Linked DNA regions of Caenorhabditis elegans. The protein of the gene in region 1 purifies or fractionates together with the protein of each later gene. This does not show direct contact. Each region holds a gene or a part of one and is shown in the gene's direction. Other genes may lie near its edges. The genes, in order: C35E7.11 and faah-5.

Region 1 (3,883 bases):
CAATTGAACTGATCACAATGTAGAGTAGAGTAGAAAATTTGGTTAAGCTAATTGTTTTTCAGTCTACCATAGAAGCCCCGTAGAACTATTAAAAATTTGAGTAAAAATAATTAATTTTCAAATCTAAAAATCTGAACATCTGCTTCAAACATATTCGTTTAGTACTATTTCGATGCAACTAATTTGCTAAATATTTATATTTGTAGCCAATTTCTGAACCAACTGAACATTTTCTGATAAATCTTGAGCAAGAAATTGGCTTCAAAAGTCGCAATGAATATTTTTAAGGAAAACCTACTCTACGCAATCAAATGCATCCGGATTACCACCCGACTTACAAAAAGAATTCCGAATATGAAGATGCACAGGAGGATTTTGATGATATTGAGCTGAAAGTTTTCCAAAAATTGTGTAATATGGAGGACAACTTGTTCAAGCAGATAATCGATTTTGAAAAACCAAAGGAACAGTTTACCGCACCACCACACCCACAAATGACTCACCGTGTTGCCCAACCTCATTATGTTCCAGTGGAATATTTCAATCACACGATATCAGACTTGCTTAGACAAATATCAGGTCTGCAGCATGAGCAAGCTATGCAAAATGGACAAATGCAGCATATGGCCAATGAAATTCGAAGCATTGGAAATGCAGTTTGCAGTCTACACTCATCACAACTACAACAGCCGCCTAACAGTGCCGCAAGCATGTTTCCGTACCCGATTCATCCGATGCCTTCAACCTTTCCACAGCAAGCACCTCATGCTCCAAATGCTCCTCAAATGACAGCCAACTCAATGCAAAGCATCGCAGAGCTCATACTCGCGCAAAGAGGAATCGCACCAAGAAGAGAAAGACGTCTCACAGAAGGTCCTAAAAAGTATAACAGAGTGATCCCACCTTCACCCCGAATTCCAAGTTCAACTGATAAAAAGGAAATGCTGAAAAAATCGAATGATCGGTTTGATAAGCTTAGAGAAGAAGTTTCCGATGTAAGGACACAATTGTCTGGTTTGGAAGGTACGTTGTTTCTGTCAGACATTTTCAACTTTCTAGAGCACCCCGCAAGCTTTTTCTCGCACACTCTCAACCTTCTGTCGCAGAAATTTGTATAAGTATAATCACGTGCAGACGACTATACGATCTCTAAGGGATCCTTGATGCTTTGAGCTTGAAGCTTTTGATCTTCAAACAGGACAGAAATCAAATTTGGAACTATCAAAAGGCATTTAGCGCTCAAAAAATAACGGCGAAAAAAGATTAGAAGCGCGTTAGCTACCAAGAAAATAAGCTCGCCAGAAAAGTATAAGCCCCTATATTTCCAGACACTACTTTCAAAAAGCCGAAAAAGCTGCACTTCCTTGAACCAGACGAAGAATCAGAGAGTGAGAATTGAAATGATAAATCTCAGTTTAATTCTCAAGTTTCAGGCGACGAGAACGGCAATGATGTGGACGAATTTTCAGAAGCTGATGATGATGATGAGGACGTGGATCGAGAAATGAAAGTTCTTGTCGAGTCACTCAAAAACCGCGTTCAATAGTTTTTTACCCCAAAACTCAATCAAACTACTCTCAAAAATTGAAATTCCTATATCTTTTGATTTCAATTGTGCATGTTTTTTCTTATCTTCTTCCTGTGTTCTCATCCCCAATTTTCTGGTTTTCATATGGAAATCTGTGACAAAACGATTCCATATCCTCAATTACACATAGAAACCCCATTTTTACTGTACGTTTCCAGCTACCTTTCCTTTCATAGTATCCTAGTTTCACTTGAATTTCCTGCTTTTTCGTCCTGCTATAAAAAGTTATACAACTGGGAAATAACCCCGGGAAACTAAATTAAACTTATTTAAAGAGTTTATAATCTCTGCTTTTTACTTTTCACTTTTAATTTATTTTTTTTTAAACTAAATTTTCAAGCATTTTTAGCAACTGCAAACCAGCCATGTCCGAGATCGTCGAAGTTCCAGATTCTCCGCCAAGATCTCCGGAAGTCGAGTGCCCATTCAGTGAGGGTGAGGAAAATTTATCTGAAACCCTGATAATTTTTTTTTCAGAAGGTTCCTCCGAAAAGTCGATGGAGACTAGAAAGCGGGTCGCTGAAGAGGCTGAGGGGAAAGAAGGCGACGATGATGGTTAGTATAGTTTGAATATTTAAATTGCAGACAAACTCGGAATGCATTTAAATTTATTAGAACAAACTGGAAATTATTTTTGGTAAATTTTCAAAAAGTTCATCCGTTTAGTTTTTGAGTGATTTCAGTTTTTACCGAAATTTTTCTATGTTGAACTAAAATATACGACATTCTTCTGTTATTTGCAAGACGTCGCCAATGTTTTCGAATTAGTTTTCAATTTATTTTATTGAAATATTACTCAAAAAATATGTTTGGCGAGTTTTAGAAAATTCTGACAAAATTTTTTGTTGATATATTTTTACTATAATATCTCATAAAATAATTATAATCGTCTAATTTTCAATGAAAAATCAAGAAATACAGACAACATATATTTTTATATCAGCATAAAATTTCAGTTATCGAAGTTCCACCACCAAAGAAGGTGAAGCCATCCTTTGAAGAAGTTCATCAGCTCATTGAAGACGACACGTACGACGAGGAAGAGCTCAAGAAAGCCAATGGAGGATCCGTTGTTGAGGAAAAGGGTTCCACTGAAGTTGAAGCTCAAGATGAGCAAGTTGCCGAGAGTGAGGAGCAACCAAATGAGCCGGAAGAAGAAGAAGAAGAGGCTGATGAGGAAGAAAATGACGAGGAGTAGATTTTAAATTGTCTAAAGATTCTCTTTATAATTATAATCAAATACCACTAGATCTTTCCATTTATTCTCAAGATCTCATCTATCATCATATTAGCGTATGAATCGTAAAATCTCAAAAAATGTTTGTTTGTTTTTTCTGGACCTTTTTTTTTAGCTCAAGCTCAAGCAAAAAGCTCAGTTTGCTCGCTTTTTGTTTATTATTTTCAAATAGCTCACAGTTTTCAACGTCTCGCAAACAGTTCTTTTTTTATTCTAAACCATTTTTCCCTCATTTTTACACTTCAAATGTCGATTTCTATAGCTTTTTTGGTTGTTCTGGAGTTAAAATTTAAATAAACTAGATATTGGCTAACCTACATTCGATATGTTCTTGAGATCATTAGATGTCTAGAATATTAGGTCAATTGACAAGAGGACTTTCTTACATATTGTCACACTATAACAGGTGCTGTAAGAGGAGGCGATGTCTCAAATGGTAGACTGTTGTAAAAGGAGAATATCGTGAAGAGATAGAGATGTACCAAAAATAAAGAATCGTAAACTTTCCGATCGATCAAAATACATTCCTTCCCATCTACATCGTTAATGCACTCCCTCCAGACTCCACCCATAAAAAACCAATCAATATTTACTCTAGACATCAATGTCTCTCAATTTCCTATTGTGTCTCTAATTATTGGAATATTTTCCAGCGTCCGAGAGCGCACAACAATCTGGAAACACAAAATGTAGTCATTCAGTCTTCAATTGTTTCTATTGTTTGGTCGAAGGCCCCTTTCTCATGTTTTATTCTTTTATTTTTCCTTTATCAGTCTTTATCTCTGTTTACGTAAATAGGAATTACTTTTTGCCCTCAATGTCAGCTAAATTATTTTACTCCGAAATTAAAAATTGCCTTATGAGCAGTCTGCTGAAACTTTTCAGACCTTGTTTTAAACCAAAATTTCCACATGTCAAAAAAACCCATATTTTTTCTTAGTAGAGCATCAACCCAATTTTCGCTACTCCAAGATTATCTTCCTGTATAATATAATTTGCACAAAACCGGCCAAAAAACTGAACAAATTTTAAATTGAAAAAGCAAAATGTGTTGTTCA
Region 2 (7,521 bases), on another chromosome or scaffold:
TGATTACTATGTAAATTTTGAGATTATTTTTGCACCAAATTCAAAAACCACATTTTTCTCGCCTTTCTTCAAGTATTTTCAACAATTTTCACCAGTTAAAATAGCAAAACATCGATAAAATGTTTAAAAAATCGATGTTCGGCGCTTAAATTCCAGCGGAGCGCGTTTGCAGCGTCCAGCGTCCAGTGGAGCGCGTTTGCAAAAAATGAAAAGGTCTCGCAACGAAAATTTCATCAATCAATTCTCATTAAAATTTTCTATTCTCGTCCTAATTTTCTTCATTTTCCATGTCCAAAATGGAGGATAAGATTAAATGTAAGTCAAATAAAATCGACAAAACTTTTGAATTTGAGATGCTATCAGTCATTTTATAATTTTAAGCAAAGAAAATCATCCTCAAATTGATCTCACACTTGTTCCACAGGCCTAATATTCTTTAAGCAAAGAATATTTAGCCTGCGGAGCAATTATTTTATACAAACTGTTTATTTCAGTGGCAGCTTACTCGGAGCTTCTCGAAAAGGCTCTAGCTCGTGATTGGTCTCCCGTCGATTTCATTAAAAATGAAATCTTGTTTGTTCTCGATGAATTGAAGATGGATGTGGATAAGTATAAAAAGAATCGCGAAGAATTTGTGAAAATCGGAAAATGTGTTGGTCACGCACACGCGCTTCTACTCATTGCGAAATTTGGCAACGAGTAAGTCTAATTTCTACAAAAAATTAGAGGCATTTCATTGTTTTTTTTTCAGAAAGTCAGATGGAGCTGCCACAATCATTCTCGGAAACATTCCCGAAGATGTGTCATTCCCCAAGTTGTTCCCTCAATGCGTGGGATTGGGCAAGTTTTTTGGCATTTGTATGAGCACCGTAAAGTCTCCATGCCTTACGGCCAAGCTCACTTTCGACGACCACCACAGTGCGGCTGATTTCGCTGAAAATGCCAATGAATTCGAATGGGATGGGCGTAAGCTGATCGCAATTGTGAAACCCTTTAGCGAGAAAAAATTCCAAAAGTCAATAATTTTTTTTGCCGGAATTTCGCTTATTTTTGCTAAACTTTGCTTAAATAAATTCGAATTAAAATAATTTCTCACAAAAAACTACAGTTTTCAGTACTTAAAGACGCATAAACTGCTTCAACTCAAAATATTACGGAAACGCAATATTCTGAGAATACGTACTGCACAACATATTTGACGCGCAAAATATCTAGTAGCGAAAATAAAACTACAGTAATCCTTTAAATGACTACTGTAGTGTCGATTTACGGGCTCGATTTTTGAAATGAATTTTCTTTTTATTTTTGCTCAAATTTTAATTGCTGCCCGTAAATCGTCACAACAGTAGTCATTTAAAGGATTACTGTAGTTTTCTTTTCGCTACTAGATATTTTGCGCGTCAAATATGTTGTGCAGTACGTATTCTCAGAATTTTTGCGCTCCCATAATACCTGTCTGAAATTGCGCAACTGTGTAATATCGTGGTGTGGCGGATAACAGAGATCGTGGCGAGACCATTTCGCAAGGAAATAAGGGCACGGTAGCTAAAATGTGTCAGGACCCATCACTGAAATTTTATGCACAGAGAACTGTTATTGCTGTCATTGTTTTGACTAATAAATTATTAATCTAGCCTCATATTCTCCTACATATTTTCTCACAAGGAACCGAATCTCTCTTCCCATTTCCAAGGAATTAACACAAAATCGTACCTACAATTGCCCACTCGAATAACACATTAGTTCCCCATTCATAATAAATCCCCCATCTATAATATATAATCTGCTGTTTTTCCGGAAAAAAAAACTCTGACTGAAAAAGTGATGAGTTGCCTTGCAAAAGTGTTCGTCGGGTTTTTAGTATTCATATTTTATCTAGCAAGTATTCCATTTCTTATTATGTATGCAATTCCAAAAGTTCTTTTGGAAAAGGTGAGCGTATCGACTGTTTTGTGATGTCAGAATGTCCCATTTCGTTGTGATCTACAAAAAATGCGGGAATCGAGACACAGGCTACTCAACTGATTTAGCATGGTTAAGAACGTGCTGACGTCACTGTTTTTTAGGCGAAAAATTCCCGCATTTTTTGTAGATCAAACCGTGATGGGACAGCCTGGCACCACGTGCTGTTCTGTGGTTTTTTAAACTTGCGCGTAAAATGTGATGCATTGAGTTGGTTGCACCATATTTGACGCGCAAGTTGAATTGTGGTACAAGCATAAAAATGCTTAATTATTTCATTTTTTACGGAAAAACTGAGAGAATTCCTTTGTAAAATCGCAACTGGAAATTTAAACGATTCCCTTATTTTTTTTGTTTTTAAAATGTGCTTTTCTGTAGGTTTTCACGATGTTTCTTTTGAAATAATGTAGAAAATCCATTTTCGACACGTAAATTATTGACACTTTCGAAAATAATGGCAAAAGTTAAACCGCTGCCCCATTACGGTTTGATCTACAAAAAAGCTGGATTTTTTGCCCAGAAAAATTTGACGTCAGCACGTTCTTAATCATGCAAAATCAGTTGAGAACTCTGCCGCATTTTTTGTAGATCTACGTAGATCAAGCCGAAATGAGACACTCTGGCACCACGTGCGCCTACCTGCCTGACCTTTAGGCGAGCTTCGCTTTGGAAATTCCGATTTTGCCGTTAAACATTATACTTTTAGTGCCGAAAACCATCGCGAAATCGTAAAATCCGAAACTTCCGTGTCCGCCAAGCCGACGCATTCACGGACTTTGAGAACAGAACTCTTCCATCGAAACTTTTGCACAGTGAACGGATTAATGGATCGAAAGAGAATGCTGATGAGATTGAGAAAACGTTTCAGACAGTACTTGCTATGGATTTTCCCACTTTGAGAGGTAACTTGTAAGGGGAAATTTAAACTTTAAAGCCCAATTCCCAATTTTTTAAGAGGCGCTTCAATCCGAAAAGTTCAACGCTTACACAGTGCTGAGTGCGTATGTCTGGAGAGCAATAAAGATAAATCGGAAGATCAATTGCATCACTGAAGTTATTAAGGAAGCTTTTACAGGTATGAAGCAAATAGTTTCAACGTGGTGCTAGAGTGTCTTATTTTGGCGTGATCTACGTTGATCTACAAAAAATGCGGCAGAGTTCTCAACTGATTTCGTATGGTTAAGAACGTGCTGACGTCACATTTTTTTGGGCAAAAAATCCCGCATTTTTTGTAGATCAAACAGCAAGTGGGCAGCCTGGAACCACGTGATCACGGGGAACACATAATTCTTAGAATGCGTATTGCACAACATATTTGACGCGCAACATATCTCGTAGCGAAAACTACAGTAATCCTTTAATTGGCTACAGTAGCGCTTGTGTAGACCACTTATCGACCCGTAAATCGACACAAGCTCTAAAGCTCTACAGTAGCCATTTAAAGAATTACTGCAGTTTTCGCTACGAGATATTTTGCTCGTCAGGTATGTTACGCATTCTCAGAAAATTTTAGATGCACAGAATTGTAGTTCTAAACTTGCGAACACATTTGCTATAACACGTGGTTTCAGAAAGTCTCATTGCGGTTTGATCTACAAAAAATGCGGGAATTTTCTACCAGAAAAAATGTGACGTCAGCACACTCTTAACCATGCGAAACCAGTTGAGATGCCTACCTCTCAGTTCCCGCATCGCATTTTCCGTAGATCAAAGCGAAATGGAACTCTCTGACTCCACGTGCCACGTGGTGTCAGAATGTCTCTTTTCGGTTTGATCTACGTTGATCTACAAAAAATGCGGCAGAGTTCTCCACTGATTTCGCATGGTTAAGAACGTGCCGACGTCACATTTTTTTAGGCGAAAAAATTCCCGCATTTTTTGTAGATCAAACCGTAAGCCTGGCATCACGTTACGTGCTATAAGTCAAAATTAGAAGAAAAATCTGGATTTTTCAAAGTCGCGCCAAATGCGCCAGCAACTTTATGCGCTTTCGACGCTGAGGACCCCTTGCCATTTGACCTCCAAAAATTGCGGGAAACTTAGACACATTTGTCTGACGCAATTTTTGGAGGTCAAAAGGTAATAAAGAATTTAAATTCGTGTTTCAGATGCTGCAAGACTTGACGATGAATATCGTGAGCAACCGAAACCCCCGCTATTTGGAATTCCGTTTTCTGTGAAGAGCAATTTCTATGTGAGGGATTCTAACTTGTTTTAAGATCTTAGCAACCTAGCTTATATTCTAGGTGACTGGCTACGAGGCTACCGTCGGACTGGCAAGCCTTCTCGAGCAACGGGAGACCACCACGTGCTCGCTCGTCAAATTTCTCAAGAATCAAGGAGCCATCCCTTTCTGCTTGACAAACCTTCCACAGGGACTTTTATCCTATATCACTTCTAATCCAGTCTATGGAACTACCAAGAACCCGTGGGACTTTTCTCGTACTCCTGGTGGATCGTCTGGTGGAGAGGCTGCTCTACTTGCAGCCGGTGGTACTGTATTTGGAATTGGCAACGATCTGGTGGGAAGTCTTCGGATCCCTGCAGCATTTTGCGGGCTGGTGTCGTTGAAGCCTACTCAAGATCGACTTCACGAGAGTGAGATGCACCCCGGGCTTCCTGGACGTGGACGGCTTGGTTACAGCTGTGGATTCTTTACTCGAAATGTGGAAGATCAGGAATACCTGTTGAGGCTGGTCATTGGGAAGCCGGAATATCAACAAATGTCACCGTATTCTTCATTGTCCCCGTTATTAGACACTAGTTCGGATGATAAGCGGAAGCCGGTTATAGGATGGTTTGTAGATGATGGATTCTGTTCAGTGTCTCCATCGAATCAGCGAGCAGTTGAGGAAACTATTGGGAAGCTGAAGGAATTGGGTTATGAAGTTAAGGAATTTAAAGTGAATGATATTGATACAAAGTTTCATTCACACGCTGTGGCCGATATGTTATTCAGAGTAAGTTATGAAGTTATGATAGTCAATAGTCTGCCGGTTTACTGGCCCGACTCCCGGTATCAGAAGTTTTAGTCTTGATTTCAGCTTGAGTCTTTTTTTGCCGAACGCCGGGGTGAGCGGCAAACGATTTTTTCCGGCAAATCGGCAAATTGTTGGAATTGAAAATCGGAAAATTTACCGATTTGCCGGTTTGCCGATGTGGCGGAATTTCTTCTCTAGTTCCGGCAAATTAATATCCGGCAAACGGCAAATCGGCAATTTGCCCAAAATGAAAATTTCCGGCAAATCCGCAACCGGCGCATTGTCGGAATTGAAAATTTCCAGCAAATAGGCAAATTGGCAAATTTCCGGAACTGAGCGTTTCCGGCAAATCGGGCAAATTGCCGGAATTGAAAATTTCCGGCAAATCGGCAAAATTGAAAATTTTCGGCAAATTGGCAAATTGCCGGAATCGGAAATTTCCGGCCAATCGGCAAATTGCCAGAATTGGAAATTTCCGGCAAATCGGCAAATTGCCAGAATTGAAAATTTTCCGGCAAATCGGCAAATTGCCGAAATTGGATATTTCCGGCAAATCGGCAAATTGCCGGAATTGAAAATTTCCGGCAAATTGGCGAAATTTCCCGATTTGTGAATATGCCGAAAAAAAGGCAATTGCCGAAAATTTATTGGCAAATTGTGGTTTTGCGTTTTTTCCGGCAAATAGGCAAATTTCCCGATTTGCCGATTTGCCGGAAATTTCCAATTCCAGCATTTTGCCGATTTGCGGAGTTTTTTCTGGAAGTTTCACAATTTCAATCTTAATCTGCAAAACTTTATGCATCCTATGAATGCTCCTAAATAATAATAAAAAATCCCTCTAATAATTTCCGGCAAATTGATGTTCGGCAAACGGCAAATCGGCAATTTGCCCAAAATGAAAATTTCCGAAATTGGCGAATTGCTGTTCAGCACATGAGTCAAAAGCCAAAAGCCTATAACCTTCCAACAGCTCATTCCCCAGAACGTGATGCCTGACAACGGAGAGTACATGTCTGAAATGTACGGCAGCGAGCCATACGATCGCTACATGTCCCACTTCATTCGGCTCGTCCGTTACAAACAAGTATTCGTGATTCGTTGGCTCGCCCAACACGTCTTACTTCCACTCGCCCAATACACTCCGCTCAAATCAAAACAGGTGCTGTGTCTTGGCAAGGCGTACAATTCGGATCCGGCGTGTGTTCGGCAGAATCAGGAGAAAACGGATTCGTACAAAATGAAGTGGATTCGATATTGGAAGGGATTAGGCATCGATGCGTTGATTTGTCCCTCGTTTATCAGTAAGTATTTAAAGTGAATGCAGAGAACGTTCCTAGCAGTTTGATCTCAAAAATTACGGATTTTCTGGAGATCAAACGGCGAGGAACCTGCTAGATTCGTTAAATTTTCAGCCCCTGCCCAACCATTCAAATATCCGGTCCTTCTTACAACTGGAGCCTTCATAACTGGTCTATTCAACATGCTCGACTGCCCGTCCGCCGTTGTCCCAGTAGCTCCAGTCCGTGAAAAAGAAAACGATAAATTCGAGACAAACGGGGATTTTGTGCTAAAACTTCAGGCAGCAGCAATAAAAGAGACGAGTGGAATGCCAAATTCTGTTCAAATCGTAGCACTTCCGAATCAAGAGGAAATGTGTTTGAAAGTGATGAGAATCGTTGAGGAGATCAGTGAAGGAGTTCAGGTGTTGAGGTGGAAGTCGGAGAATCAGACGATTTGGACGAATGGGGATAGTTTCGAGTGTTTTGAGAGATTCGAGAAGAAGATTGCTCCAAAGAAATAATATTTAATTGCTTCGTATTTCCTCTTATAACCCACGTGGTGCCATGCTGTCCCATTACGATTTGATCTACAAAAAATGCGGGAATTTTTCGCCCAAAAAATGTGACGTCAGCACGTTCTTAATCATGCGAAATCAGTCGTGAACTCTGCTGCATTTTTTGTAGATCAACGTAGATCAAGTCGAAATGAGACACCTTGACGTACATATTAACCTGTCATTTTAGGGTGAAATAAACTATAATCGTTAAAAATGCGAGTAAAATAGTATACAATTCCTATTATTCAAGGTTTCTTTTTCAGATTTCATGTTGAAACTCCGCGGAGCCCGCTTGTTCTGGCCTATACGTAGAAATTAAAGACTTGCGCTTCAGAAAATGGTTGAAAATACGAATATTCAGCAGGAATAGTTATATTTTATAGTAGATCAGTCGAACTACGACATATTAATGGTGTATTTCCACGATTTTTTTCCAGTTTTTTTAAAAATATGCTAACTGATATGACAAAGTACCCCATTTTAAGGCAATAAATCTTTGAAACCCAATAAAACTGCCATAATGGGCCTGACAACAAGCTTGTTAAAGTATTAATTTATGTAGTTCAAACAAATGAAAATATCACGAAAATGTTCTTTACAAATTAATTGGTTTAACCACCAAAGGTAACTGTTTGTTTGAAAATGCTTAAATTTAAAGGTGAAGTAGCGCCAGTGGGGATTTTGTCTAAATGCACTTATAATAATCCAAAACAACCGAATATCATAATAAAACACTCCTAA

What was found.
Region 2: the proteins of C35E7.11 (region 1) and faah-5 fractionate together in Caenorhabditis elegans (co-fractionation; one large-scale study listed by BioGRID). This does not show direct contact.

What each region holds. Positions count from the first base shown.
Region 1 is NC_003279.8:10,842,835-10,846,717, forward strand, and holds C35E7.11 (Glutamic acid-rich protein-like), read left to right. Parts: upstream 1-1,937; 5' UTR 1,938-1,953; coding exon 1,954-2,023; intron 2,024-2,065; coding exon 2,066-2,143; intron 2,144-2,544; coding exon 2,545-2,786; 3' UTR 2,787-3,138; downstream 3,139-3,883. Other genes in the region: C35E7.2 (Reverse transcriptase domain-containing protein), read left to right, coding at 289-1,023, 1,329-1,388, 1,434-1,546.
Region 2 is NC_003281.10:11,885,739-11,893,259, reverse strand, and holds faah-5 (Amidase domain-containing protein), read left to right. Parts: upstream 1-1,824; coding exon 1,825-1,932; intron 1,933-2,668; coding exon 2,669-2,864; intron 2,865-2,917; coding exon 2,918-3,037; intron 3,038-4,070; coding exon 4,071-4,156; intron 4,157-4,208; coding exon 4,209-4,922; intron 4,923-5,925; coding exon 5,926-6,244; intron 6,245-6,355; coding exon 6,356-6,744; 3' UTR 6,745-6,775; downstream 6,776-7,521. Other genes in the region: Y56A3A.41 (RRM domain-containing protein), read left to right, coding at 288-315, 495-699, 752-1,088.